Coturnix japonica: one gene and its partners. The protein of the gene in region 2 binds, or shares a complex with, the protein of the main gene of each other region. Links are inferred from orthologs where the notes say so. Each region holds a gene or a part of one and is shown on either strand. Other genes may lie near its edges. The genes, in order: NUP107, NUP205, NUP93, NUP85, NUP188, NUP160 and NUP214.

Region 1 (3,500 bases), about 11 Mb from region 2:
CCTCTCATCTTCCAGCTCTTCCCACCTTAAAAGCCCTCTCCCCTTCTGCTTATCAATCTACCTGTCTATACTCCTCCAGCTTCTCAGCAGCCTTTTCACACTAGTTGTACTTGCTTCTATTTAAAACAAATATATCAAGATCTGATAATTTTAATCATTATATTAATCATCCAGCGACTTCCAACTTTGGCATTCACTAATATCCTCTCATCAGCGACCTCCTTACTGCTTCACCATTTCTGTACTGATTTTCCAACTTAATGCCTTGTCATTTTTAGATACTACAACAATTTATAGATACCAAAAACTGCCCCGTTCCACCCATTTTTAGAAAACAGCATATGTGTTCTGTGCAAAGCATTTTGAATGGCTTTTATGCCCAAAACCAAGTCTTATATTTAAATAACACTTACCAATTCTGTTACCAGAGGTCGAGAACTTCCAATGAATGTACTTAACTGTCGCTGCTTCAGGATATGTAGCGTATTCTCCCTGGGAGCAGTGAAATGTTTTTGAGAGAAAGAAGGGATTAATAGCAAACATTTTAATAAGACATTAAAATTAGAAAATATTTCTGGATAATTGGAATAGGGTTACAAGAAAGGAATGCTTGGTTTGGTTTGTGCATCAATGAACAGTGTTATCGTACAATTTCATTAGAAGTACAATACTGGAATCAATGCACGTGGCTTTGACTTCTTTCAAAACCACTTTCAATGTATATGAACTATTAATCCATTTCTGCATGAACAAGATTTCCCATTAGTGTTCAGCATTATCGGTCTTGGATAGAAATACAACTTAGGATGAACACACGATTCCAGAAGCCTGTGTTCACCTGTCTTTAAAACAATGCTTATAATAGGAACTAGAATCAAGAAGACTTTGCTCTCTACTGCCTTAAAATCCTTGGCTGGTAATAAAGATGACAATAATTACTTTTGGTGAAGGATAAATGGTAAAAAGTGATGACACGAACTTCAAAAGCCAGACAAAGAACTGAGCACAGAAGAGAAACACATGAGAACAGTTTTATCACCTGCTGATCAGCAGCTGACCATCTTTTTGATGTCTTTTTGATGAAAAATTAAACTGTCATCTATGTAAAACTAAATTAAATTGTTTTCACAACCTTCCTGTCACCTGCTCCTCCCAAAGGCAGTATCTGACTTTTGAGAAGACATAGCCAAACTGGGGAGTAGCTCACTTTTCATATCAATGAATTTAAGGAAAAATGAATGAATGGACCAACTTCTTAGGTGGTTCTAGACTGATTCTGTGTCTGGTTCTGTGAATATTACAATTGAGGAAGCATGGATACAATCAAAAGTCTGAACTCACCAATACACAGATTTTGCGTAAAACTCAATATTATCAGAGAAGTTCCCAATTTCATCCTTGGCGATGCTCTCTAGCCAATCTACCACCAGCTGGAATGAAATTCAATAGCTTTTTTTAGAACAAACACACAATAAATAATACTCCATCTTTCTCTCATCTCTGAATCTATTTGATATCTACACAGTAATCCAAGGCGTACATATCCTAAGAAAAAGCTCAACTTAAGTGCCCAGTTTGAAGCTTGTTTTGGCACTTGATATATTTCTCACTAGATGCTGCAGTTACTACTGCACTATTTAATAGCTCCTTAATTAGTAACAACAGTTGCAGATGATCCAAATTGGAACAGTTCTCAGCCTTCTATGCTCTCCAGCCCAGCCTGAAATATTTCTGATCTCTAGAAATCAAGGAGCAATATTGCTGCACAGGCCTAGATGAATATAAAGAAATAGTTACTTGACACAGCTTAATAAAATACACAGAGCTCATATTTTCTAAAGCTGATGTAACATTAGTTTCATAAATATTTAAGTGTTTACTCATCTATTTCCGTTCTCACCACAAAAATTCTCTTACCTGGCTTTGTCGAACAAGAGCATCTTTCTGAAACAAGTTGTCTACATTCATCTTTTCGCTTGCATTTAAAACCTATTGAGAAAAACTTCATCATCACTTGGTGGAAAAGAAAACTTACCATAGAAACATCAATCTGAACAGTTTTTAACTTCCAAAATTGACTTGGCATTCACCCCCTACCCTGTCCTTTTTCAGAAACAGATGATGCCACACATCTGTTTTATTTGGATGCTCTACTTTCTGTCACACTAAGATTGATAATACGATTCAAATGTGTGGTCACAGAAAGATTTTACACAGTAGATCCATCAACTCCATTGACTGCTCTCACATTACCACAAATCCAGTTTACTACTTTGTATGTTGAGAAGGCCAGACATTTTTACAGAGCTCATACGAGCACTAGACACGAACAAATGGAAAACAAAACTAAATACACACACCAGCCCAGAACCCTGGTCTTTCTTGTTGCTCTCCTGCATTAAGTTGGACTTCTTACAACAAAGGCTGAAGAATACAAGCGTTTATCTAAAAAAGACAGATAGGAAGAGACTCTTTTTGGCAGAGCAGAGTTTAATTTAAAAGCACTGACAACTCAGCAGTGGGAATCAAGGAGGAAGCTATTTCATGACTGAGAAAAAAGCAACTACAATCGTAAATTTCACAAAGGCTGAGTTGCTTTACTTCTTGTTTTGTCTTCCCAGGCACATTCTGGCAGCAAAGGCTGGAAGCACTGCATTGACACAGACAAGAAGACTACAGCTGAAACAAGAACACTCCAAAAACTTGATTTCTCTTGAGATAAACTGGAATCAGGATTGCAGAGCACCAGACAGCTTGAGACCACATGTTCTTCTAGGCAAAGCAGAATCATCTCTGCCCCAGGGAACATTATCACTACGGATACAACTTTTAAATATAAATCTATCGTTATTTCCAGTTGATTTTCCAAGGGCATGAGGAATACTCGGTGAAATAAAACAAAATACACTTGATACAAATGTTTAAGCCAGCATTCTCAATTTGGAATCAAATATATCATAAAAGGTGAATTTAACTATATATAGAATAATTTAGTATTTATCTTGATAGTTATTAAATCAATCTCATCTTTACTTTCTTTTATCTTTGAATTTTGAGTGGCTGCAATACTGAGCTTATTAAAAAAATATAACACAAGACTATAGCTTTAAAATGCATCCTTTAAAAACAGTAATACTATTTTTCTCCCTCAAACTTACTGTGATTTCAAAGGCAGTTTCATCTTCCAGTGCAGACTGTATTCTGTCTCTAGAAATAAAAGTGAAAAACCTTAACTACCAAAATAACGCTGAAACAATTCAGGAGAATGCAGAATAAAAGCAAAAGCACTAAGAATACCTTTCAAGTGTTTAAAAATACTACAAGTTAAGGAAGTAGCAACAGGGCTGTTAACAACTTTCAACTCCCATAAATAGATAGTGAATAGGCATCACGATCAGCAGTTAGGTCCATAAACAGATAAAGAAATAGGCACTTAGTTCCTTTACTCTGTACTTATTCTCTCGCATGCAATATGTCTAAGGTTATCTCAGTGTGAAGAG
Region 2 (3,500 bases):
CCATCTTTTTAAGTCTCAGAAAAAGACTGCAGGAGAAACAGACAGTTTTTAAGAGTCAAAAATTTAGTCGTATAGTCACAGTGTATATGTAACAGAGAACAACAGAAAACAGCATAGTTAACAATTTAAGGCTCTAGAAAATGTTCTTAACCCCCCTATGCAGATTGATAGCACTTTAAGATTTGAATTTACAGAGGTAAATAGGTCTCCTATCATCAGCTGTTCTATTTAATTTTTTTTTTCCCTCCCTGTGGTATTTCGGAAAACAATTCAAATTGTTTTGTATTTACAGTACGCAGGAAAATCTTAAGTATCTTGGATTCAATTGACTTCAGTCAGGACATTCCAGAGCCTTTGCAACTGGATTTTTTTGACCGTGTTCAGATTGAGCAAGTCATTGCTAACTGTGAACACAAGAATGCACGTGGGCAAGTGGTCTGCAACGTCAAGGTGTGCAATCTTTATTTTATTAATAATCTTTATTATTATTAATTTCTGTGACTGATCAGTTTAAGAGTTATGCTTTGAAAGGTCATATTACACAAAGAATGTAGCTGTATACAAACTGTTTGGAAATTAATTTATATTTTCTTCTGTATTGTGTACAAAGATTTCTCATTAACACCTGACAGATTTTTCAATTCAAGATGGAATATTTTCGGTTTAATGATCTTCTCAGCTCAGAATAGATAAATGAAATTGCAGAAATGACTTCTACATTTCATGTTTCATTGTTCTGCAGTACGCAGCTGTGTAGTACTGCATGTGTGCACGGTTCTGTACATAAAATACTCATGTACTGCAGTTGTTCTTAAAGGCTTCAGTTAAGATAGTGTCTTATGGGGATGAGTACTTGACATGTATATAATATGAGGGCTGCTGTGAAAGTAAGGCCTCCTATTTTATTATGTTGCCCCGCAGTGTCAGAGGTGGATGTTGGTGGAATGGTATTAGAGGCTAAACCTTCCCACCCACATTTCAATGTGTTTTGTTGCCATGCAACAGATGGCAGCAGAGGGGCAGACTGACAAAATTATGTTTGATATGGAAGCACAAACAAAGCAAAAGTATGTCACTAAATTCCTCCATGTGGAAAAAATTGCACCCATTGATGCTTGCTGAACAGTTACAGAGGTCAAACAGTGGATGTGAGTGCAGTGAGGTGGGTGGTGCGTTTCAGCTGTGGTAATTTGAAAGGAAAGCTGTATTCTGGATGGCCACACACAGCTGTCACAGCAATAAATAAAGAGCATCTCAATCAGCTCATCCACGCAAATTAGCTAATGGTGTTATCTACGTTGAAAAAGAATGTTTTGTCACTGAGAATTGGCTCTATCACAGTGTTATTGTGCTCTTTGTATCTGCTGTAGTCTCCATGGAAATAGGAGGCATTATTTTCAGAGTGACCTAGTAGGTAGACCTGAAAAATTTGTGATCTAAAAGACACTCAACAAAGCAGGAGTAGAACAGAATATCTAAGTGATCTTGATGGCAATGAGAAAACTGCTATTCCACATTATGTCATAGGCAATCTACTTTGTAAATGTGCTTTAGAGAGGTGATGAACATTTATACCTGTGCAAGAGGTCTGTAGTGACTGACAGGAATAGGGAGTATGATGTTCTGAAAGAACTGACAAAAAGACTGAACGATTTAGGAATGGAAGGAGATGAATAAGTGCAGAGATAAAAACTGTGATCAGCAAATAGAGACTGGACAGCTAAAAGTAGCTGGAGAATTAAATATGGGTGAAAACTAAAAAATGGGCGAGATTGATTTGAATTTCAGTCTCTCCAATTGCATTTCTTACTATGTAGCTACCTCCTAACTACTTTTAAATCTTTGCTATTATTAAAGTTTTTTATTTTTAATAATCCTTTCCCATTTCAGCATCTTCACAGAGTTCTGGTTGCAGAAGTCAATGCCCTGCAAGGAATGGCAGCAATAGGTCAGAGACCTTTACTTATGGAGGTAAGAAAATGAAACAGTAACTGCTGTTGTTTCTCTTGGTGAATTTCATAAACTATTAAACAGTAAGCTTTACCATGAAAACCTGTATATTTGAATCCTGAACTTTGAGTTAGTAATTCCTGAAGGGGAAAAAAAAAGAGAAACTAGTTCTTAATGTACTGTTCTCTGTTTGTCTTGACTGTCTTGTAGGAGGTACCAGTTTTATTTCTGCTTTCTTCTACACAGTTAGTTTCTTTGAACTTGGAGGATCTTAGTTATTTTTTGATGTTCCTACTATCTTTTAACTTTATGTGCAATTGGTGCAGTGGATTTGAAAATGGAAATATGAGAGATGACCAAAGCTCATATGAGAAGAAAATACATGGACAGCTTTTACCTCAGTTGTCTGTTTTCATTTCAAAGGTGTACATTAAAATTTCCTTCAATTTTCTAAAGCTTAAGACTTACCCATTTTTTTCCCCAAAGACTTACTGATAGATTAAAACTTGTAATCATGAAAGCTGTCTTTGTCGTTATCCTCTTTTAGCATATTGTAACTCAGTTTCTTTATCATGGTGGTCAGGAGATCAACACCATCCTGCAGTATGTAGTGGAACGGAATAAACTGCTGCAATGCCTTCATGCTAAGAAGCATGCTTTAGAGTCATGGAGGCAGCTGGTGGAAATTATACTGACTGCCTGCCCCCAGGATCTTATACAGGCTGAAGACAGACAATTGATTATCCGTGATCTATTACATGATGTTCACGACAAGGTAAAGCCTTATTGGAAAACAACTCTCTCCTTGAACTTTGTTGCTTATCAGTACTTCTTTTGAAGAGTGAAATCGTTGAATGAAGCTTCATAGTAGAAAGAGTAAGGATTCTTTAATTAGAAATAGCTGTGAGGGGCTAAAGTAAATACTTTTATAACTGTAGGGAAAGGCAATAGCAGATAACCAGTTCTAAATTATCCAAAAAAGGGTGATGGTCACAATCCAGTTAAAGAAAGAAAGATTTGCTTACCCATTCCAAGGATCAGAGCTCATCAAAGACTCCAAAAGGAGGAATTTCCAGATAGAGATCCTTTCCTTGTGGCAGTCAGCCCTGAAACAAGGCTTAGGGAAAGGTTTAACCCTGATTGCTTTCAGTGTTCTCCCAGGGATGTCCCTTGCCAGGTGTTCAATCATTGGTTGAGGCTGTGATTTAGCAATTCCCATACAGTAACTCATGAAATCAGACATTTATGGATATCTTTTTTTTCTTGTTTTCTTCTACTACTGCTTGTTTGTTTGTTTTCTTCTATGTTAAGATCCTAGATGATGATGCAGCTCAGGAGCTGATGCCGGTGGTGGCAGGGGCTGTGTTCACCCTCACTGCCCATCTGAGCCAGTCTGTGAAAACAGAGCAGAAACAGCCACTTGCAGTCCCAATGACTGGGCAGTCCCAATATATCTTGATGTTGGATGGTTCTTTTACCTCATCACCTGGCTCTGAGAGCATATCCATGGGTTTTGCTTCCATTGGCGACTCTTCACTCCACATCATCTT
Region 3 (3,994 bases), on a different chromosome or scaffold from region 2:
CAGCCCGCCTCGCCTGTAAATAGCTGCCATGCTTTGGGGACAGGGTGGGGGGTGATGGGGGCCACAAACACAAAACAAAGCTTATTTTTACATGTTTTGTACCTTCTGTGCTGATGGAGGAAATAAATGAGTTTGGCTGAGCCCTGATGCTGCTTGTGACACGTGTGTGGGAGCACTGGTGCTGGGGGCTGCGCCAACCCCCTGTGGGCTGTGGTTTGAGGGGACAGAGTGGTGTCGTGCAGTTGGGGTGCTCTGTTTCACAGCCCCTGGTGAGTGGGGGGCTCAGGGTGCCACATGGGGCAGGTGTGAGCACAGCCCGGCCGGCTCCTGCCCTGGGGGGGCAGACAAGGAGGGGGGTGGGGGCGTGGGAAGGCGCCTGGCTGCTCTTTTCCTTCCGAATACACCTGCCAAGCGAAAGTTGGCCCTACCTGTGCTGCAGGGCACAGCCTGCCCACACATGTCTGTGTGCTGTGTGCTCTGCTCCTGGCCATGCTGCCTCGTCCCATGCTCTGCGGGTGGGGACAGCTCGTGCCCTCCAATGGGGCTGGGAGCCGTGTGGGGTGGGTGGCCCTGAGTCCCCGGGCCCCTCGCTGGGGTGGTGCTGGAGATGGGAAAGGGGCTGCCCCGCTCAGTGTGTATTTGCCTTGTAAATCAGGGCCTGGGCTCCTTCCCAGCCGTGCCCCGGGTTGGAGCAGCCCCCAGGACGAGCTCTGGGGGCCGTGCCTTCAAACATGAGCGCTGTGGGAAGGTGTGAGGGCAATGTCTGCTGAGGGGAGCTGGGCTGAGGGGGGTGTGCGGCCCGGGGTCCCTGCAGGGTGGGTTTTTTAATTGAAATCAAGTTTTTCTTTATGTGAGTGAGTGAGCCTCACATCCTACATGGCACAATGGACACAAGTGGGGAATGGGGAACAGATGGCTGTGGGGGTTCAGGGCAGCGAACAGCCGTACTGATGGCAGTCTGCAGGCGTTCCGCTTTTCGTTTATAGTGTTTTCATCTCTGACCCCCGGCCCCGCGCGGCCGTCGGGCCGTTCCTCATTGGAAGAGGCGGCGGGCAGCCTCGAACCCGCGTCTCCCGGCTCACCGCCCCCATAACCACGCACAGCCCGCGCCGCCTCCCAGCGCCTCAATCACTTCTTGTCGCGAGACGAGCTGGAGGGGCGGGACTCAGCTCGACAACCAATGGAAATGCGTAGCGTCAGGAAGCGCGCCGGCTCGACCAATGGGCTGGCGGGGAAGGGGGAGAGCGTGGCCAATGGTGGCGCGCGGCGCGGGCGTGCAGGCGCGGCGGCCGGAGCGGCGGGCAGGTGAGTGAGGGGCGGTGGGCGCGGCGGGGATCGCGGTGCGGGCGGCCTCCGTCCTCCGTCCTCACATCGTTCTGCTCCCCGGCTCCTGAGCTCGGCGCTCCCTGCCCTGGGCGGGCGCTGAGGCGCGGGGCCTCCTGTGAGCGGGTGCCCTCGGGCCGAGGCAATGTCTGCCAGCTGTGCGGGCCGCTGCCGGGGGTCCGGGCCGGGCTGTGTGAGGGCTGGAGGCGGGGGGAGATGCACGGGGTGATGGCGGGTGGGGCCGACATGAGGGGACCGAAAGGATGGACTGACTGGGAATGGCTACATCAGCTCGTGTGGTTCCTGCTTGTTCCTGCGGTGCTGATAGCAAAGGAAAGATTGTGGGGAGAGGATCCGAGCTACAACATAAGGAGCGTGAGGGGAGTGAGCAGGGCAGGCGGCACGGCAGTGCAGTAAGACCTCAGAAACAGCTGGTTTTATTCAGTTTGTGCTGTAAAAGCTCTATGAGACCAGAGCTTGGGAGCCGCGATCAAAGGGTTGGTAACTTACACACCTGCCTGCAGCTGAAGAACAAAGCATACAGGACTGGGAAATATAGGGATGGCAGCTGATTTAATTTGTGGGTGGTGGAATGAACACTGAGTTGAGGAGTTCGTTGCTGTGTGCTCTGTTCAGGACTTTCCTACATCCAGGGCACTGTACCAGCTGGAGCACCACATGCAGCTTGGAGCCCTTACGTGTTTGGTTTTAGTGTGGCTTGTGCTTTTAGCTTAAACCAGGAGGTGGTGTGGCTCCCTTTGCTAGGTTTGATTAAAAGTCGTGTAGCAGAGGGCAATTTGTGGACAACATGTAATAGATGTGTGGTTTGCAATCGGTCCTTTTCCCTTATAGAAGTTGAAAATGAGTCAGGGACAGACCTTGGGAGCGGGAGCAGGTGACCTGTGTGTGCTGCTGGTGGGGCTCAGTTGTCTGTACCATTCCTGCCCTACGTGTGCTCTGTTTAACAAGCTCATTGACAGTTCCTGCATTCTTAGAAAGGAGCTTAATATCAGTGTCTAATATCACGGAAGTGGCATTTTTCATTCATTCAAGATATACATGTATGTATTTTGCCGCCTGCTCTTTGCTTTCATACTCAGTCACTTACTCTCTTCCTTCCAAAGGGAGCGGATGCTGACTTGTCACATGGGTCTCTGGAGCACTCTGAGAGGGTAACGCTGGATTTCTTCCTCTTTGTTTTGTCTTGGGAAGAATCTTTTTGCCCCTGGTTGGATTGTACTCTTTATCAGCTCTTCTGATTGCAGTGGGTGAGGCTTCCCTCTGAATTTTTAGTCAGTCTCTTTAAATAAATTAATTATAATTAGGTGGCACAAAGACTGTCAGTGTATGAAGTACAGCAGACACTTGCTTACACATGGGAGCTCTTCAGCTTGAAGTCTTTATGAAGCTCATATGGTGAAATGTTCAGCATGGCCGTATTTGGAGTAGGACAGCACTCTTCATCTGCTAGCACTGCAGGGCCTGGCTTTCCACGACCAGCCGGCATTTATGGTCAGTCTGAACAGAATTAGAAACCTGTCATCATTTCTGATTTCATTTTGGCTGAAATCCAGCCAGCTTGTAGAGTTTGTAACATCTACATGCGGTTTTAAATGTTGGGAAAACATTAAATGGGGCTTTTATTGGACAAGCAATAGCAGACTAATGCAGCAGCTTCTATTGATAAGTCATCAAAGTCGTTTTACAGAAGGGCTTTTTCAGCCCTGGCTTCTAGCCCTGGGTCGATCCAGTTTCACCGAAGTTAGTTTAATTTCTGGTGTATTTTCTCTCCCTTAGGTGTAAGTTGTTGCACATTCTGCAGCCAGACACAACAGTCTGCTGTCATTTGCTCGTCCCTGTGGCAGCAGTTTTCCATCTTGCACAGCGGCATTTGGAGTCAGACTGCAGCCTCCTGAATGCAGTAAATTCTGACAGCATGGAGACTAAGTAGTTCATGCTGTTACCCGGTCTGGATGTTTGAAGTCTGTCCCTTGGAACACGCTGCTGTTTGAGCTCTAGAGAAAGGTTTGAGCTCTCATTCCCAGTGTTTGGTTATAATCAAAGGTAGTTGGAGTTGCTTCAAATTAACAAGTTTATTCTATATTTGCTGAATTCAGTCTCTGTTTTCCAGAGTCATTACGGTTGTCCTACCTTGGCAGATTTGTGGGACAGCCTGTATATGGAATTGACTTGGGATCCGTGCTTGACAATTGCAGTCTGTGGAGCTATTTGTAGTCCCCTGACTCTCTGTGCTTTTGGTTTTAGAGCTCTGAGAAGTCAGTGCCTTCTCACACTCTTGGCTTTTCATCTTGTTCTTAATGAGAAGAGGAAGCAGACTGATTTGAATCAAATCAAGCTGAAGTCTGTGCTGCTCCTGCACTCACTGCTTCCTGCTTTCTAACGGTACAGGAGCGTGGCTGTTGTGGTCAGCCTCTGCCAGTGCAGGCAGCTTCTGCTGGGGCACACTGAGGTATCACAAGTAAACACTGGAAAGATGCTCTGTACTGCATTGCAGAGCATGGAACTGCTGCTTTCCACCACGCCCCTCTCTCCTCCCAGCCATCTCAGTGGCATGCTAGTCTGTTCAAACAAATCCAGACCCTGCTGTCTCTCCTGAACAATAGGTCAGTGCACATGGGGTTGCTACGTCCCCTAGCAGCTCCTGGTTTTC
Region 4 (4,001 bases), on a different chromosome or scaffold from region 2:
AAACTTGTACACTGGCCCTTAAACTAATATATGGGATTCCTATTGCTAAGGCAGTCAGCCTACAGCACCTTCTCAGCCTGAACCCTGAAGGGGCGAGTGGCTTATTCGGATTTTGCTCTTCATTAATACTAGTGTAGCACCAGGAGCAGAAAAGCATTGCCGAGGTGATTGCCTGTCTCATGCTTCCCCTTTCACGATGCTTATCCTCCTTGCCTTCTCCCAAGCTATGAAATTACTTTCCAACCTTCTATTTTGTAACCCTTTATTCCCTTCCTCATTAGACCTCAAAGTTTTGCTGCTTTCTCCCATCCCCAGAAAACAGTCGTGTTCTTTTGGCTGAACCCAGAGCTGTAGCTCTCAAGTCTTTTTGAACACTGTGTACTTCCACGCTGCCATTCTGGTTGTAATTCGATTCAGTTACAGACTGGTCAGGCACAAGAGCCTTTCTGAGCCAGAGTGCAGGCTCATCTCTCTCCTAGATACACGCAGACCTCCAGCCAACCTTCCAAGAAGGACTAAGACACTGCAAACTAAACTTCACCTCTGCCAAGGTCATTTCCCTCGGCAAAAGTCACTTTCTCAAGGGCAGCAGGAGCTGCAGCCATGAAAAGCTACTGGCGTTTTTAGTCAGTGAGCAGAGGGGCTGTGTCCGTCAGCACAAAGCAGGAAAGGAGCTGCAGCTTTACATCAGCTTGTAGTTTTTCAGTCTTTGCACTGGATGGGATCCTGAGGCAGGAGGACACTGTCCCATTCCTACACCCTCACCTCAGACATCAAAACATCCTTCAACACAACGACGAAAAGGAAAATAAGAGCAGTGAGACCAACAGACACTGCCCAGGGCTCGGGCCTCTCAGCAGCGCTGGTTCAGGCTGAGCAGCACCTGCCTTTTTACTGCCCGTTACAGAGCGACCGCGGCGGGACAGCGGGACACGGCGGGACAGCGGGACACGGCGGGACAGACAGGTGGACACGACACAGCTCCGCTCCGCTCCTGCCGCGTCCCCCCCGCCCCGCTCTGCCATTACAGCGGCCCGTCCTCTCCTCCCCTCCCCTCCTCGCGTCCTCCCCCGTCCCGCCCCGCCGGGGCCTTCAATGCCGGCGCTGTTTCCGGGGCGACCGGCCGCGCCTGCCCCGAAGTGTCGGAGCCCCGTCGGTCCCGAGGGCCCGAAGCGGAGCAGCCCGCAGGGAGCCTCGCTGGCTGCCGGCTGCGGGTAACGCTGCGGAGCTCCGCGGGGCGTTGGGCAGCGGGGCGGGCAGCCGCCAGGGGCCTCAGCGCGGGCGGGAGCGCGGCGTGGCCATGGAGGAGCCCGAGACGGAGCCGCCGCTGACGGTCAGGGCCGGACCGCCCGTCCCCGTCCCTTCCTTTCCCTTCCCTTTCCTTACCTTCGCCCCCCGCTCTCCTCTCCCTTCCCGCAGGTGGTGCCGGGCGCCGACCCGGCCCGAGCTCAGCTGTGCTTCGAGTGGGGCCCCGCCGAGATGCTGCTGTGCGAGACGCTGTTCGGCCGGGGCGGCAGCGCGGGGCCGGGGCCGGCGGGATGCGGCGCTGCGGGCGGCGGGGACGGAGCGGCGGGTCCGTCGCGCGTGTTCGTGGTGCGCAGGGATCAGGACATCTACATGGAGACGCTGCGGAAGCTTTTCAACGAGTCCCACGGCATCTTCGTGGGGCTGCAGCGCTGCGAGGAGGAGCGGGCTGCCAGGGCGAGGAACGCGCAGTGAGTGGGGCCGGAACAGCCTCCTTTTGGGTGCTGAACAGTGCGTGGGACCCTGCACAGCACGGGCAGCACCCACCAGGCTGACCCTGGTTCTGGAAGCATCCACGGATGCACAGAAAAGGGACCGTAACCGAAGCAGTATCTCTCTGTAAACGATCCTTTTTGTGTTTGGCAGATTAGTCCAAGTGAGTAAAAACTACCGCTCGGTCATAAGAGCCTGCATGGAGGACATGCACCAGGCTGCCAGTAAGTCTGTTGCACTGCAGTAAAAAGATGCTACTTGTGATGATAAAAATAAGATTTCTCTTGGAAGTTGCTATAGCTACTGAAAAACAGCCCATATAAACTTCAGTAATTAACAGGATTCCATCTTCCATCATTGAGATTTCCATGTTGGTTCATCATCTCGTAACTGATTTTGGGAAGACTTGCAGTATTTTCATGTCATGACTTGTGGTTTTGTGGAAAAATGAGTCAAATTCACCAGCTTGCTCCTCTGAAACAGTGAGAGGACTCACTGTGTCTTAACATCCTTGTCCTGTAAATATACCAGATTTATAAAGAGTTCTGCAGGGTGAGCTGAGCTGTATCAGCTGTGCACACATCTGGGGCTGTACCCAGCGAGCGATCAAGGACTGTATGAATGAGCTCAGAAAGTTTTGTTGTACCTGTAAATATGCTGCTTTTTATGCTGCTTTTTGACTTGGTGTATTTTTCGCTCAGTTTCAGCCCGGGACTCTGCCCTGCACAACCAGTACAGCATTCAGGTAACGTACAGTCACATCCACGTAGTTGCATGAATATTGGTTAGTAAAGCCACAAAGACCAACACCGTGGCTGTAGTTTGTTGTTTGAACAGCACTGATGTTGCTTAGTTTGCCTTTAGTTCCTTCTGTGCTCTCTAACTCTCAGGAGATTAAAAAGGCTTCAATTAACACTTTCTGCACTGTTCTGCATTTCCCTGAGGAGCGATTACTGTTGCATTTCAATACACAAACCACCGATATTTTCTAAAATGGATGTGTATAGAGAAGTTATGGCCTGTTTCTGTCTTTTGATTATCTCTGGAATATCAATGTGACATTTCTCTTGTCTACAAAAACCCATCTCTGTGGGCAGCACATTCAGCTGTGCACTTAAAATTAAATAACAGGAACAATTATGACCCTGAAACGCAGCTCTGCTTTTTGTCAGGTTTCTATTCTCTCTGCCATGGAGCTGATCTGGAATCTGTGTGAGATTCTGTTTGTTGAAGCAGCGCCAGGTGAGCAGTGAACAGTTCTGATGTTAAGCCTGAAAGTGGTCTTGTTTGCGTAATAATCGTTTAAAATGTAGACAGCGTGCGTGGTGCTACATCTTAATGCTTACTGTGGAGTGTATGACAAGCAGCACCGAATTCTGATACCTTTTCTGCCTCAGTAAATTGCATTTTTTTGTATTAAATTATATCAGGATGCATTCTACTTTACACTGGCTTATTTATTTATTTCTCACAGAAGCATAATAAACAAAAACTTGTTCCCAGTTTATTTGACCTTAAAGCATAAGAACCTTCTTAAATTAACTGCCTGGGGACAAACAGTTTGGGAACTAACAGTGATACCTTCTCTGTGTAAAGCTGGTCCTCTCCTGCTTCGTCTCCTTGACTGGGTTCAGCTTCACATCTGTGATGTAGACAACATGGTCCGTGAAGTTCTGAGCAGCGAAAATCCATCAAAACACAAACTCTTCTGGAACGTGGTGAGTACAGCCCCCTGTCAGACGTTTAGATGAAGTCGTGCCTGTGTGTCTCGCATTCCTCTTCTCAGCACTGTAGCACATCTCAGAAACTGATACCTGAGATGCTGCTTCTGTCTTTGTAGTTTTAAGATAAAGCATTGTCAAGGTCATAGAATCACTCAGGTTGGAAAAGACCCGAAGGGTCATCAAGTCCAACTACAGCCTAACCATGCTACCCTACCTACCCAACAGCCCTCCGCTAAATCATGTCCCCGAGCACCACATCCAAATGGCTTTTAAACACATCCAGGGACAGTGACTCAACCACCATCCAATTTCATGATTCACAGAGGTTGTATATTCAAATTAGCAGGGCCTAGAGTTGAAATCTTGTAACTCTACTTGGCTTTCTTGAAGATTCTCCTGATATTCCACCTGGGTGCGTGGTAGCCCTGCACAGCTTGGTACTCACAGACGTGCTTTCTGCAGGTGGATATCTTCGTACTGCAAGGCCGAATGGATGAAGCACGGCACTTGCTCTCCAAGGAAGCCACTGCAAATCCCGCA
Region 5 (3,500 bases), on a different chromosome or scaffold from region 2:
CCTAAGTGACATCAAGGCTTGTGTATTTTGCTTTCAACTGAAGTGCTGATTGAAACAAGCATCATCCTGAAAGGCAAAAATATGCTATTTTTATTTATTCTGAAGAGAAATTCAACCTGAAATATTTGGAGAGAATCTTTAATGAATTCAGTTACCTTTTGTTCATTTCAGAACATCTCTCTTTTTTTTTTTCCAGGGTCTGGATGAAGAGCAGAGCGTGCAATTATTACAGTGTTATCTTCAGGAAGATTACAGAGGAACGAGGGACTCCCTGAAGGTCCTTAGCTCCCATTTATTTCCTGTTCACTATACACCTGTCCACAATACCAGTAATCTGTTGATGAACACGATCATATGCAACCCCACATTCTGAATTGGAAAAGACTGTAGTTTGTGTTCTCTGAACCTGCGGTGGCCAATTACCACTGTACAGACGTGGGACAGCAGAAGTTCAGGTCTAACTTTCTGGTCCTCTTCCTGCTTGAATCTGGAAGGATTTGGCTCATCTCTGTCTCAGGAGCAGAGGAAACCTACAGATGTATGAATGAGAGTGGGTGGAGATGAAGAACAAACATTCACAATTAAGTACTTAGGTTTTGTCATTTTGGAAACAGTCTTTCCAAAAGAAATGGAAAGAAATTTTTTCTTATTTCTTTCATTTGTGGAGTATTTGTTGTTTGTTTTTGATGGTATTTGTCAGTAGGTATTTCTGCGGTGGGTAATCATTTTGTTATGCTTTGCTTACAGACAGTTCTTCAGGATGAAAGGCAGAGTCAGGCTCTGATGTTGAAGGTTAGTCATTTCAGCTTATATTTTCTATTGAAAAGATCTGAGAACTGACACTTTGTATTCAGAAAGCCTCGGGGTGATGGCAGTTTTAGGATTAATGCTGGGGAGTTCAGCTGTCAGGCAAATGCTTCCACATATTCCAAAGTGTGTGGGTTTGTATGTTTCTGTCTGAAGGGACAGCTCTGGAAGGGAGGCTGATCGTCACACCTGGCAGTAGATTACTAAAGATTAAGAATAGAAGATTGTATCTTATTTTTGCCTTTCTTTTCCAAGTTTCATTGGATAGTATAATTACAGACATCCCAACAACTTGTTTTATTGAATTCTGTTAAGTAAATTAAATTCTTGTGGTTTTTTTTTTAATTATTTTTTATTATTTTTATTTTTTTAGATAATTTAAAACTGCTTAGTTGAAATTCCATCTGTAGCAGTGTTTGAGCTCTATGTATTCTGGTGCTGAAGGCACTGGAAGAGGAAAGTGAATTGGAGTTGAACGCAGTAACAAACTGATGCTGGTGCCGTTATGTATTCACAGCTTGCTGACTATTACTATGAAGAGAGGATCTGCATTCTGCGCTGTGTCCTCCATTTGCTCACTTATTTCCAGGATGAGAGGCACCCTTATACAGTGAGTACTGGAACCTTCTCCTGGATGTCATTGAAATAAGCTAAATATGTAAGCTGTGTAGTAATTATCCACCTGTGACTATAAAAACCACACAAGAATGTATATGGAAGTTCATTTATTTATTTGTTTGTTTATTTAAGGCACAGTACTTCCAGTGTATTGAGAAGCTGGACAAGGAACTTGTTCCTAATTACCGTAAACAGTTTGAAGAACTGTACAAAGCAGAAGCTCCTACATGGGAAACACACGGAAATCTCATGGTATTTTTTTTTCCATGCTCTTCTATATAACTTCCCAAGTATATCTGTCTAGCTTAGAAAGTCTTTCTTTATGCATGTTGAAATGTCTGCATGCAGATGTAGCCTATAAGATGGTTCTCTTGAAGAATCTAACTGCTATTTTCTCTTTAATCGAGCACACTTTTGCATAGAACCAAAGCAAGCTGTTTGAAACACATTGTTCCATGTAAGAAATCTGTTGATAACAGTCAGCTATAACAGATCAATTACTGTAGCTCTTCATAGTCTCTCTGCATCAGTACCCTTGCAGTGGCTTTTGTTATTAATGCAAACCACCAACTATGCAAGCATTGAAATAGCTCAGCCCCTCTTGGTTTCTGATTGATTTTTCTGATCTCTGAGCTTTGATGCATGATGGTGGGACTTCTCCTTGTGCAGACAGAGCGTCAGGTTTCCCGTTGGTTTGTGCAATGTCTCCGTGAGCAGTCCATGCTCCTGGAAGTCATCTTCCTCTACTATGCGTACTTTGAAATGGCACCTGATGAGCTTCTGGCATTTGCAAAGTTGTTCAAGGAGCAGGGATTTGGCACTAGACAAACCAACAGGCACTTGGTGGATGAGAGCATGGATCACCTGGTGGATCGTATTGGGTGAGTAACGTATATCTGTAGAGTGAGTACAGAACAGTGCAGTTGTTTTCCTCAGTAATAGAAAAAAAAGAAAAAAGTGCTTATATTTCTTCTCTCTCTTAAGTCGTCACTTTAAAATCACCACTCTGAAAATGAAGCTGAACTAATTATGATGAAGGCAGAATGTCTTTTCTGATTGCACTGGACATTGGTGGCAAAATGAAGAGGTGATTGCAAAGCAGAGGGGCATCCAGATGCCAGCTTTAATTGTCTGTAGTAAGAATAGCAATTAAGACACAGTGCCATTTAGTTTCACCTTGACTAGTTATAAAGTGAAACTGCATCTTCACAGTTCTGTAGTGTGAACTGAATTGCCTTAGTACAAGCTGTGGGTCTGCTTATACAAGTGGTGATAGTGTCTCAGTTTTGCTGTGTGGGACATAGCTTAGGCTGTGTCCTGAAGGAATGAAGGGTCTTTTTGTTTGTTCAGTGGTAGTTTTGAACATTTTAAACTGTTCTATGCTTAGCATTTCAAGACAAAATTTGGATTACCTGCTGCTAATTTATTTCTTTAAAGAGCAGCTGAACCAATGCAAACTGAATGTTATTCTTTGACTGTCATTCTTTTTACATTAGAAACCAACTGAACAAAAACATCAGCTGAATTCTGATACAAAATGTCTCACCTACTTGATTTTTTTTCCTCTTTCCTGCTTGCAGCTACTTTAGTGCTCTTATTCTGGTGGAAGGCATGGAAATTGACTCCCTCCATGAGCGAGCTTTGGATGATAGAACAGAGGAGCACAAGTTAGCCAATAATTCACATATCCACCAGGTAAAGTGCAGGCAGGGTAACTCCATGTTCAGCCTGACAGAGTAAGTAAAACTTACTCTGGTTATCGAAGCAGTGCTGTTAAAAGATTATGTATAAAAGGTTCTGACTCTTGTGTTTGCTGGCCAAATAGAAGAGCTAGCATCCATGAAACTTGATGGGACAAATAAGAAGGAAATTAATTCTTCTCCCACTTACATACTTGATTATCTTGGGCCTTTCTTTAAAGAAAGGTGTGTGCAAAGTGTTAGGCAATGTGAGCTTTAAAAGTCTTCTGTTTCATACCCTTCTCAGTGTCAGGGCTTTTAGGACAGAGAACTTCTGAGGTTAAAAGAGCACAAAGTCAGTAAAACAAGCACACAGACCAAGACTGCACATGCACA
Region 6 (3,500 bases), on a different chromosome or scaffold from region 2:
GGGCTCGCTGATCCCAGCCAGTCACGTAAACTTGGATTAAGTGTGCTGACCTCAGAGAGCTAACAACAGCTTTGAGCGTGCATGCAGTGACCCAAATAGAGGTGAAGATGCAGCAAGTGCCCTGCAAGTACCAGGCAGGCACAGAGAAAGTCTAGTGGCCAAAGTGCTGCCCTGGAATAGGTGCCAAAGCTCTCCCAGCAATCTTAGCACAGCTCTGCTTCTCAGTGCAAAGAACAGCTGGTGCTCTCTCAGCTACTGAGTCTTCGTCATGTCTTCTAGCTCCCTCCTGATCAATGATGCTGACATTTTTCAGTTTTTATGTTATCTTGATGAAGCAGGCACAGGGCCGTGGTGAGTTCTATTGCCCTGTGCTATGGCTTTGAGTTATGGTGTGTGCCATAGGGAACGTCCTTCTCTCTCTGCACACCAAGGGGATGTTGAGGTTGGGAAATGATCCTGCCAGGGGTGGTGATGAAAGCTCCACTTTTTCCTCTCCTGTAGGAATACATTCGCCTGTTGCAGCCATGGTGCCATGTGAACATGGGCTCCTGCTGCTTCATGATGGGCAGGTGCTACCTCGTCATGGGTGAGGGCCATAAGGTAAGGCACCGTGGTTGTATTTGCTGTTGGGGCCTTGTTCCCTGTGTAGCTCAGGGAACATTGATCTGTCTCTGGGCAGGGAGCAGGACTGGGGGGCACAGTGGGACCTGCTGTCAGGGCAGTTCTTGTTGCAGCTTGGGGCCAGCAGGACCTGTAGGATGAAGCTGAAATGGGCTGCGGTGTCCTCTGCAGTACAGCAGGCTGGGGCAGTCCCCAAAGGCACAAGCTCAGCTGCTCTTTGCTGTGCTTCCAGGCTTTGGACTGCTTCTGCCAAGCTGCTTCCGAGGTGGGAAAAGAGGAGTTCTTGGACAGGCTGATCCAGCCTGAGGAGGGCGAGATGGTCTCCACCCCACGCCTGCAGTACTACAGCAAGGTACGGCTCAGTCCGTCCAGCACATGTGGTCCCCACCAGTGCTGGTGCCTCCGGAAAGGGAACTTTGCTATCAAGCAGAGTGTTTGCTCGGGGATAGCATCATTCACCTCTGTGTTGCAAGGGCTTCCTGGAGCCGTTGAGTGTTCAGGGAACTCACACTTGTGCAGAGGTTGTTCGTCCAGTAGGGCCTGGACCTGTTCTGCTGGATTTGGTTCACACCTCTGCAACTTAACGCTTCTCTTTTTTGGCTCTAGCCGCTCAGATACGGTGGCCAAGTATCTTGATTACTCATATGGCTGGAGTTGTCACTTACAGGTTCTGCGCTTGTTGGACATGGTTGGCTTACCAGAGCTGGTCATCCAGCTGGCTTCTCTGGCCATCATGGAATCAGCAGATGACTGGAGAACCCAGGTACAGTTTCCTTCTGCACAGAGATGCTTCTTCAGGGAGCTACCATAGGAACTGTTTCTTGGTTGCATAACTTGCAATGTGCTCTTTTGTGCTGTGTGGTGTTTTCAGGCTACCTTGAGGACTTGCATCTTCAAACACCACTTGGATTTAGGGCACAACAGTGACGCATACGTCGCCTTAACACAAAACCCAGATCCAAGCAGGTAGGTGACAGCTTTGTGCTCTTAGATGCTCTCTTGTCTTGGAGCTCCTGCCTTCTCCAGGTTTTGTACTGAAGCAGAAGGAAGCTGGCACCGTAGGGTAGGATATGACTGCTGCATTAAGAGGTTCTGTGTGAAAATACCTTTAAAGAGGCATACTAAGAGCAGTTATAATTGGCAATACGTCCAAAGTGGAAACTGAAAGAAAACATAGGGCCTTATTCAGGGAAAAACCAGAAACAAAATGGCTGGAGAATTGCATGCAGCGTTACATTTGGGAGGGCTCTAGCAGTCTGATTAACCTGGTTTACTACAGGAAAGAGACTTGGGATGGAATTTTGTCTTGCGTACCTTCTTAAAGTGAGGTGTGTAGAGGAAGCTTTGCAGCAGCCAGGAAGAGTGCAGTGGGCAGGAGGGGCTAAAAGCTGGAGTTGGGGCTGGGAGTTGGTATGGAGGCCACATAAAGCTTCACCAAACAGAGCTGGGGGTGGGGGGCTGCCCTCCTGAGCAACACAGGCATTGCGGAGACATGTTCTGCTAATCTTTGTTGGCAACACAGGAGAAACCTGAAGGGACCTCTTGGTTTGAAGCCAGTAAAACCTTTGGCTCTGATTCCAAGGCAGCACGTTGGTGGCTCAAAGCCTGCATCCCTATGGTGGGTCAGCTCAGGGCTGTGCTTTCCCTCTGCAGGCAGCTGGACTGTCTGCGCCAACTAGTGGTTGTGCTCTGCGAGCGCTCCCAGCTCCAGGATCTGGTAGAGTTCCCCTACGTCAATCTCCATAATGAGGTAATTAATTAACCTGCGCTGGGAGGAGGATGGGGGGGTGGACACACACAACTCCTTCAAAGAGGATTTTTGACCTATTTGAGCCTCTTTTCATCGCAGGTTGTAGGAATCATAGAGTCCCACGCTCGAGCAGTGGACCTGATGACCCACAATTACTACGAGCTGCTCTACGCTTTCCACATCTACCGCCACAACTACCGCAAGGGTGAGGCATGGGACGGAGCGGCCCCGTCCTATTCATCTTGCTCCAACAGCAGCACAGCTGATGCATCCCCTCCTCTCCTCAGCTGGCACGGTGATGTTCGAGTACGGCATGCGCCTGGGCCGCGAGGTGCGGACGCTCCGAGGGCTGCAGAAGCAGGGCAACTGTTTCCTTGCAGCCATTAACTGCTTACGGCTGATCCGACCCGAGTACGCCTGGATAGTGCAGCCAGCGTCTGGAGCTGTGGTAGGGGATCTGTGGGCTTGTCAGCAGCCCTTGAGCTTTTGGCTGTAGGGATGGTCAGGGCTGTGCTGGGTGAGGTTGCTTCTGAAATCCTTCGCAATGCAGCTCAATGAGAAATGTGATATACAGAGTATTTGTAACCTCCTGCAAGGTCCACAGGGAGGAATGTAGCACCTCTTGTTAAAGATAAGTCAGATCTTGAGCAGACTAAACAGCTGGAATTCCAATCCAGGGGAGAATTACACAAACATGGTTTGTATTTCCGATCTCTTTGTAGAGGGGAGGTGGCTGTAGCCTGACCAGCCAATGCTGCGCTGTGTTTGATAGCCACAGATAAGGAAACGTAACCTGAACTGATAAGCAGTTGCATGGCTCCTCATTCAAATCAAGGCTTGAGGGGAAAGCTTAGGGCTGGAGTGCATTGTGCTGATTTGTCCTTCAGAAACCTGGGCATCAAACTCTTATTTTCTACTTCCTTACTGCAAGTATGAGCGGCCTGGAGCATCCCCGAAGAGAAGCCACGATGGAGAGTGCACTGCAGTCCCCAGTGAGTGCCTGCTACTGACTTCTCCCCATCTCCTGCATCCCCACAGCTTTTCCCCTTGCCTCCTGGGAGCTCATCTATGGTGGATGGGTTAATCTGGGGGTTGTAAGCACGTGCACTCAGTGTTAGCATCTCCTAGC
Region 7 (3,500 bases), on a different chromosome or scaffold from region 2:
AATGCTTCAAATTCAATTTTGCATTAAAGTCTGACCTCAACTCCCTACTGAAGGTTGTCACTCAGGTAAAGGCTGCTGCAGTTTCCAGTTAATCGGCACCCTCCTGTGCTCTTCAGGAACACGACTGCACTACCTTTCACTCTGCCTGAAGGCATCTCTATCTTAATGTCTCTTGGTTGCAAGAGAGAGCTTTCAGAATTCACTGAGGTACAGCACAATAGCTCAGATGTATCTTCCACTCCAGCCTCTGACAATGAGATTTGAACAGCCTTCAGGCAGCACAGGAGGTACACCAGTAACGTAACCAGGTAGATGCAAAGCACAGCAGGGTTCAGTTAGTACAGGCCCTGTGCTATAAAGCAGAATTAAAACCTACACATTCACCTCAACGATCCTTGTTCTTCCTTGCTTTGTAACCAACCTTTTATTTCCCCTTTAGACCACTGCAAACATACTTAATAAAAAGTTCTGCAAAATGACAGAAGCTACAAGCAGCATGAAAACCACACAGGCAGAGTGAAATCCCTAATAGAATATGGCTCTTTTAAACTCATAATTACCCCAGTTCTGTGAAACACAAACCTGAGGTGCCTTCCACTCTACGTCTGTTACTGCAGCATCCTCATCTGCAGCAAGCTTTCAGGAAGAACTGTACCTAATATCTGAATCCTTACAGAGATGTAGTTGTGCATGTGCTGCAGGCTTCCCATAGAAATGCAGGACTGATAATGTGTTAGTCCCACTTTCAGAATAATCCTAAAGCACTGGATTGCTTCTCAAGAATACCTCCTATATTGCTACCACTAGGCTATTTCACAAGACTAACACGACTTACTGATCGGGATAGGCATGTTATTAGTGTAGTCTACAGCAACACCAACTGGCAAAGTATCATCACTTTTATCTGTCACAGGAAGTTCTGCTCTGCTGGAGTCCTCCAAAATCCATGATTCCCAGTTCTGCAAAACAATAATAGATATTATTCTGACTACTGTTTTCCTGTGCTGAACCTTCTTTAATACATTTGTCTATTACGACTGAAGGACGAGACGGCAAGAAGTCTGGAGAGTATCCACCTGAACTAGTCAGATAAATAAACAACAGAAGTACCAGAGTCCCCCACAGAATTGGCTGTCGCTTCTTCCACAGCACTGCATGTCAGATTTGAAGTCAAACTCAAGAACAATTCTTCATATTCTACTTCAATTGACAACCTCATATGAGTCACTTTTTACTACAGTGAATTTAACCACATTTTTAGACTACCAAGTAAATAATGAAAAGCAGACTTGTGGAACTTGGTTCACAACATACAGTCATTCTGTTTATCCTTCCTGTAACTCAGATCTTGTGTTCTTCTAAGGCTTACATTTACCTTAATATTCTGCACAACCTGAATGTTTTGGATTTTATTTGCTTGGTTTTGGTGTTTATCTTTTTGCTTTGCTTTTTAAAAGCTTACCACACTGTCATGTTGCAGGTCTTACTAAAGATTTACTTGTTTAGGCTTTCAAGAAAAAGGAGGTATGCATACATAAATGAAGCAGGAAGAAAAGCATTACCTGATCTCCTTGCCTAGCAAGAATGCTGACTTCTGTGGAAGCGGCCGAAGCTGCCAGAATTAGATCCCTGTAAGGATGGACACCAGTAGGTTACGAGATGCATAACAATCCAGGCAAGGTCTCTAGCTCTGCAAATCATTATTACCTATCCAAATTCATAAATAACAAAAGAGTTACAACAGTATGAAGCAGACTATTCCTTCCCAGGATGAAGGAAACACATTTGGCTCTGTCTCTGTAGAATGGTTGCCTTTTTTTTTTTCCTCCTTTAAAATTAGTCATCAGTGTATGTTGTCATGAAAATAAAGGAGAAATTACACATACATTCATAAAACATTCTCAAAGTGGCAATTTCATTTGGCTCACATTCAGGTCTTATATAGCTTACAGAAGGGAGAGAAACAGACTATTCAGACATGCATGACAAGGGAAAAGCTTTATCATGATTCTCACAACCCACCATTCCTCAACATAGTTGAGGTAGTAATGATGTTGTCTTTCAGCACAGCTTCCATAACAAGGCTCCATGAAATTCACAAACTTCTCTGGTCGCTTCTCTTCCTTTTTCTGAAAGACCAGCATTAATTATTTACTGCCCAATGTAGAAATTAAGTAACATCCTGTAAATATGGCTTCATCAAGGTACAGTAAACTCAAAATCCAAATGATGGCAATATACACTGTGCCATTGTCACAAACAGAAAGAACAAGCAAGAAACTTCTCTGTAGCTGTGACTTGTTGGAAACTTACGGGCAATATTGCTACAACCACTTCAGGAGGTGTTTCCAGCGTCCCATCAGCAGCAGCATATACAATAGCAAAGACATAGGTGCCAATCCACAGCACATCCAAAACTGGAAGAGAAGGAAACAAATACCTCAGTCAGATACACACCAAAACACTTCCTTGTAGTGTGAGTTACAATGTACAATGGCATTGCTAGCAGATAAGGAATCACTAACTGCTAAACAACAAAGATGAAGAATCATTAATCTAGCATCAGTCATACTAGGAGGAATTATGTAACCAGGGTACTATGAATGTGATGTAACAAGCAGTAACAGTGGATGAATGAGTGAAAGTATTTTAAAGGAGGAAACAAGTTAAAAATAAACAAAAAGATGTACCTTTAACAGGATTGTCTGCCTGATAAAAGGGAGGATAAGGGATTACCTTCTTCTCTTGCAGATTCTGCAAATAAAAACACTCTTAAGTACTACGAAAAAAGCCCCCAAACAACTAAACTGTAAGTTTCAGAGGAACTCCAGAGAACTGTTTTATAGTGACTCACTCCCTCATTAACACTCATCACGTGCCATGGTTAACTCACTACATTTAAGTGGCAGATGCACACCTTAAACTAAACCCAGCACTGGTCTAAGACACTTTAATATTACTGAAGTGCTTGGGCATGGCTCACAACACACGCCACCCAACTCAAATTCTGTACACTGACATGCAAAAAATTGAAGCATATAGCAAACTAGTGAGTGTCTTAGTGACAACACTTACAGGCAGATACTGTACCACAGTGCCATTTTGCCTCCCTACAGCCAGTTGTTTTCCCTTCGGGCTCCAACACACTAAAGAAAAAAAGAGAACTCCATCAGCATTAAGGAAATGTAGAATTACGAGGTCCCTTAAAGCAGGGCCCATAAATTAAAACTGCATTGTTTTTCCTCTGCAAAACCCTATGGATACAAATACAATTCCTGTGAATATCATGGTCTTGTCTTCTAGGTCACAAACTGAAAAAAGAGCTGAAATTCTTAAACCTCGTACTAACTAAGCTGCAAACATGTTTCAGCTTCACTCCCGTGTGCCCCTGTGCAGCTTTATATTGCCCTATAGTGGAATATATCCAGTCACATTTCAAGCATACACTTCAGTTGACACGAGTATATCTGGACGAGTTAAAACTATAGACAGAGGCCTAA

What was found.
Region 1: the proteins of NUP205 (region 2) and NUP107 are in contact, whole or in part, in a cryo-EM structure (PDB 7WB4), measured with the Xenopus laevis proteins. The link is inferred for Coturnix japonica from reciprocal best matches to the Homo sapiens genes NUP205 and NUP107. Residues at the interface, in XP_041443600.1 of Xenopus laevis: Gly1247, Gln1248, Arg1249, Pro1250, Ser1458, Arg1506, Gln1507, Leu1983, His1991, Gln1995; in NP_001091312.1 of Xenopus laevis: Gln134, Glu136, Pro189, Tyr282, Tyr283, Gln770, Ser772, Phe773, Thr774.
Region 3: NUP205 (region 2) and NUP93 share a complex: the UniProt entries of both Homo sapiens proteins name them as parts of the nuclear pore complex. The link is inferred for Coturnix japonica from reciprocal best matches to the Homo sapiens genes NUP205 and NUP93.
Region 4: the proteins of NUP205 (region 2) and NUP85 are in contact, whole or in part, in a cryo-EM structure (PDB 7TDZ), measured with the Xenopus laevis proteins. The link is inferred for Coturnix japonica from reciprocal best matches to the Homo sapiens genes NUP205 and NUP85. Residues at the interface, in XP_041443600.1 of Xenopus laevis: Glu1477, Cys1480, Arg1481, Cys1484, Asp1485, Ser1517, Gly1518, Tyr1519, Leu1520, Lys1521, Val1522, Val1524, Asp1525, Ser1574, Gly1575, Gln1582, Gln1638, Gly1641, Gln1642, Gln1645, Val1648, Leu1690, Asp1691, Ile1692, Gly1693, Leu1694, Asn1695, Asp1696, Gly1697, Ser1698; in XP_041431608.1 of Xenopus laevis: Ala86, Glu87, Glu88, Ala89, Ser90, Gly91, Lys92, Ser93, Arg94, Lys95, Pro156, Pro239, Met240, Gly245, Thr246, Gln247, Thr248, Leu249, Thr250, Glu251, Phe252, Glu253, Leu254, Lys255, Trp256, Gln257, His258, Trp259, Pro315.
Region 5: NUP205 (region 2) and NUP188 share a complex: the UniProt entries of both Homo sapiens proteins name them as parts of the nuclear pore complex. The link is inferred for Coturnix japonica from reciprocal best matches to the Homo sapiens genes NUP205 and NUP188.
Region 6: NUP205 (region 2) and NUP160 share a complex: the UniProt entries of both Homo sapiens proteins name them as parts of the nuclear pore complex. The link is inferred for Coturnix japonica from reciprocal best matches to the Homo sapiens genes NUP205 and NUP160.
Region 7: NUP205 (region 2) and NUP214 share a complex: the UniProt entries of both Homo sapiens proteins name them as parts of the nuclear pore complex. The link is inferred for Coturnix japonica from reciprocal best matches to the Homo sapiens genes NUP205 and NUP214.

What each region holds. Positions count from the first base shown.
Region 1 is NC_029516.1:31,995,756-31,999,255, reverse strand, and holds part of NUP107 (nuclear pore complex protein Nup107), read right to left. Parts: intron 3,208-3,500; coding exon 3,159-3,207; intron 1,990-3,158; coding exon 1,918-1,989; intron 1,431-1,917; coding exon 1,342-1,430; intron 493-1,341; coding exon 414-492; intron 1-413. UniProt on the Homo sapiens protein: Plays a role in the nuclear pore complex (NPC) assembly and/or maintenance. Required for the assembly of peripheral proteins into the NPC. May anchor NUP62 to the NPC. Involved in nephrogenesis.
Region 2 is NC_029516.1:43,443,467-43,446,966, reverse strand, and holds part of NUP205 (nuclear pore complex protein Nup205), read left to right. Parts: intron 1-292; coding exon 293-450; intron 451-1,890; coding exon 1,891-1,971; intron 1,972-2,533; coding exon 2,534-2,725; intron 2,726-3,261; coding exon 3,262-3,500. UniProt on the Homo sapiens protein: Plays a role in the nuclear pore complex (NPC) assembly and/or maintenance. May anchor NUP62 and other nucleoporins, but not NUP153 and TPR, to the NPC.
Region 3 is NC_029526.1:559,046-563,039, forward strand, and holds the start of NUP93 (nuclear pore complex protein Nup93), read left to right. Parts: upstream 1-1,194; 5' UTR 1,195-1,305; intron 1,306-1,585; exon of another isoform or gene 1,586-2,495; intron 2,496-2,506; exon of another isoform or gene 2,507-2,591; intron 2,592-3,120; exon of another isoform or gene 3,121-3,387; intron 3,388-3,994. UniProt on the Homo sapiens protein: Plays a role in the nuclear pore complex (NPC) assembly and/or maintenance. May anchor nucleoporins, but not NUP153 and TPR, to the NPC. During renal development, regulates podocyte migration and proliferation through SMAD4 signaling.
Region 4 is NC_029533.1:9,354,953-9,358,953, forward strand, and holds the start of NUP85 (nuclear pore complex protein Nup85), read left to right. Parts: upstream 1-1,201; 5' UTR 1,202-1,300; coding exon 1,301-1,333; intron 1,334-1,419; coding exon 1,420-1,715; intron 1,716-1,890; coding exon 1,891-1,961; intron 1,962-2,438; coding exon 2,439-2,482; intron 2,483-2,909; coding exon 2,910-2,979; intron 2,980-3,173; exon of another isoform or gene 3,174-3,333; coding exon 3,334-3,455; exon of another isoform or gene 3,456-3,923; coding exon 3,924-4,001. UniProt on the Homo sapiens protein: Essential component of the nuclear pore complex (NPC) that seems to be required for NPC assembly and maintenance. As part of the NPC Nup107-160 subcomplex plays a role in RNA export and in tethering NUP96/Nup98 and NUP153 to the nucleus.
Region 5 is NC_029532.1:4,036,956-4,040,455, forward strand, and holds part of NUP188 (nucleoporin NUP188 homolog), read left to right. Parts: intron 1-196; coding exon 197-277; intron 278-747; coding exon 748-792; intron 793-1,324; coding exon 1,325-1,417; intron 1,418-1,557; coding exon 1,558-1,677; intron 1,678-2,094; coding exon 2,095-2,306; intron 2,307-3,005; coding exon 3,006-3,120; intron 3,121-3,500. UniProt on the Homo sapiens protein: Component of the nuclear pore complex (NPC), a complex required for the trafficking across the nuclear envelope. Required for proper protein transport into the nucleus.
Region 6 is NC_029520.1:538,830-542,329, forward strand, and holds part of NUP160 (nuclear pore complex protein Nup160), read left to right. Parts: intron 1-501; coding exon 502-600; intron 601-853; coding exon 854-973; intron 974-1,288; coding exon 1,289-1,384; intron 1,385-1,492; coding exon 1,493-1,587; intron 1,588-2,274; coding exon 2,275-2,371; intron 2,372-2,470; coding exon 2,471-2,576; intron 2,577-2,658; coding exon 2,659-2,819; intron 2,820-3,302; coding exon 3,303-3,363; intron 3,364-3,500. UniProt on the Homo sapiens protein: Functions as a component of the nuclear pore complex (NPC). Involved in poly(A)+ RNA transport.
Region 7 is NC_029532.1:4,680,661-4,684,160, reverse strand, and holds part of NUP214 (nuclear pore complex protein Nup214), read right to left. Parts: intron 3,147-3,500; coding exon 3,076-3,146; intron 2,755-3,075; coding exon 2,691-2,754; intron 2,418-2,690; coding exon 2,314-2,417; intron 2,130-2,313; coding exon 2,023-2,129; intron 1,630-2,022; coding exon 1,563-1,629; intron 960-1,562; coding exon 836-959; intron 1-835. UniProt on the Homo sapiens protein: Part of the nuclear pore complex. Has a critical role in nucleocytoplasmic transport.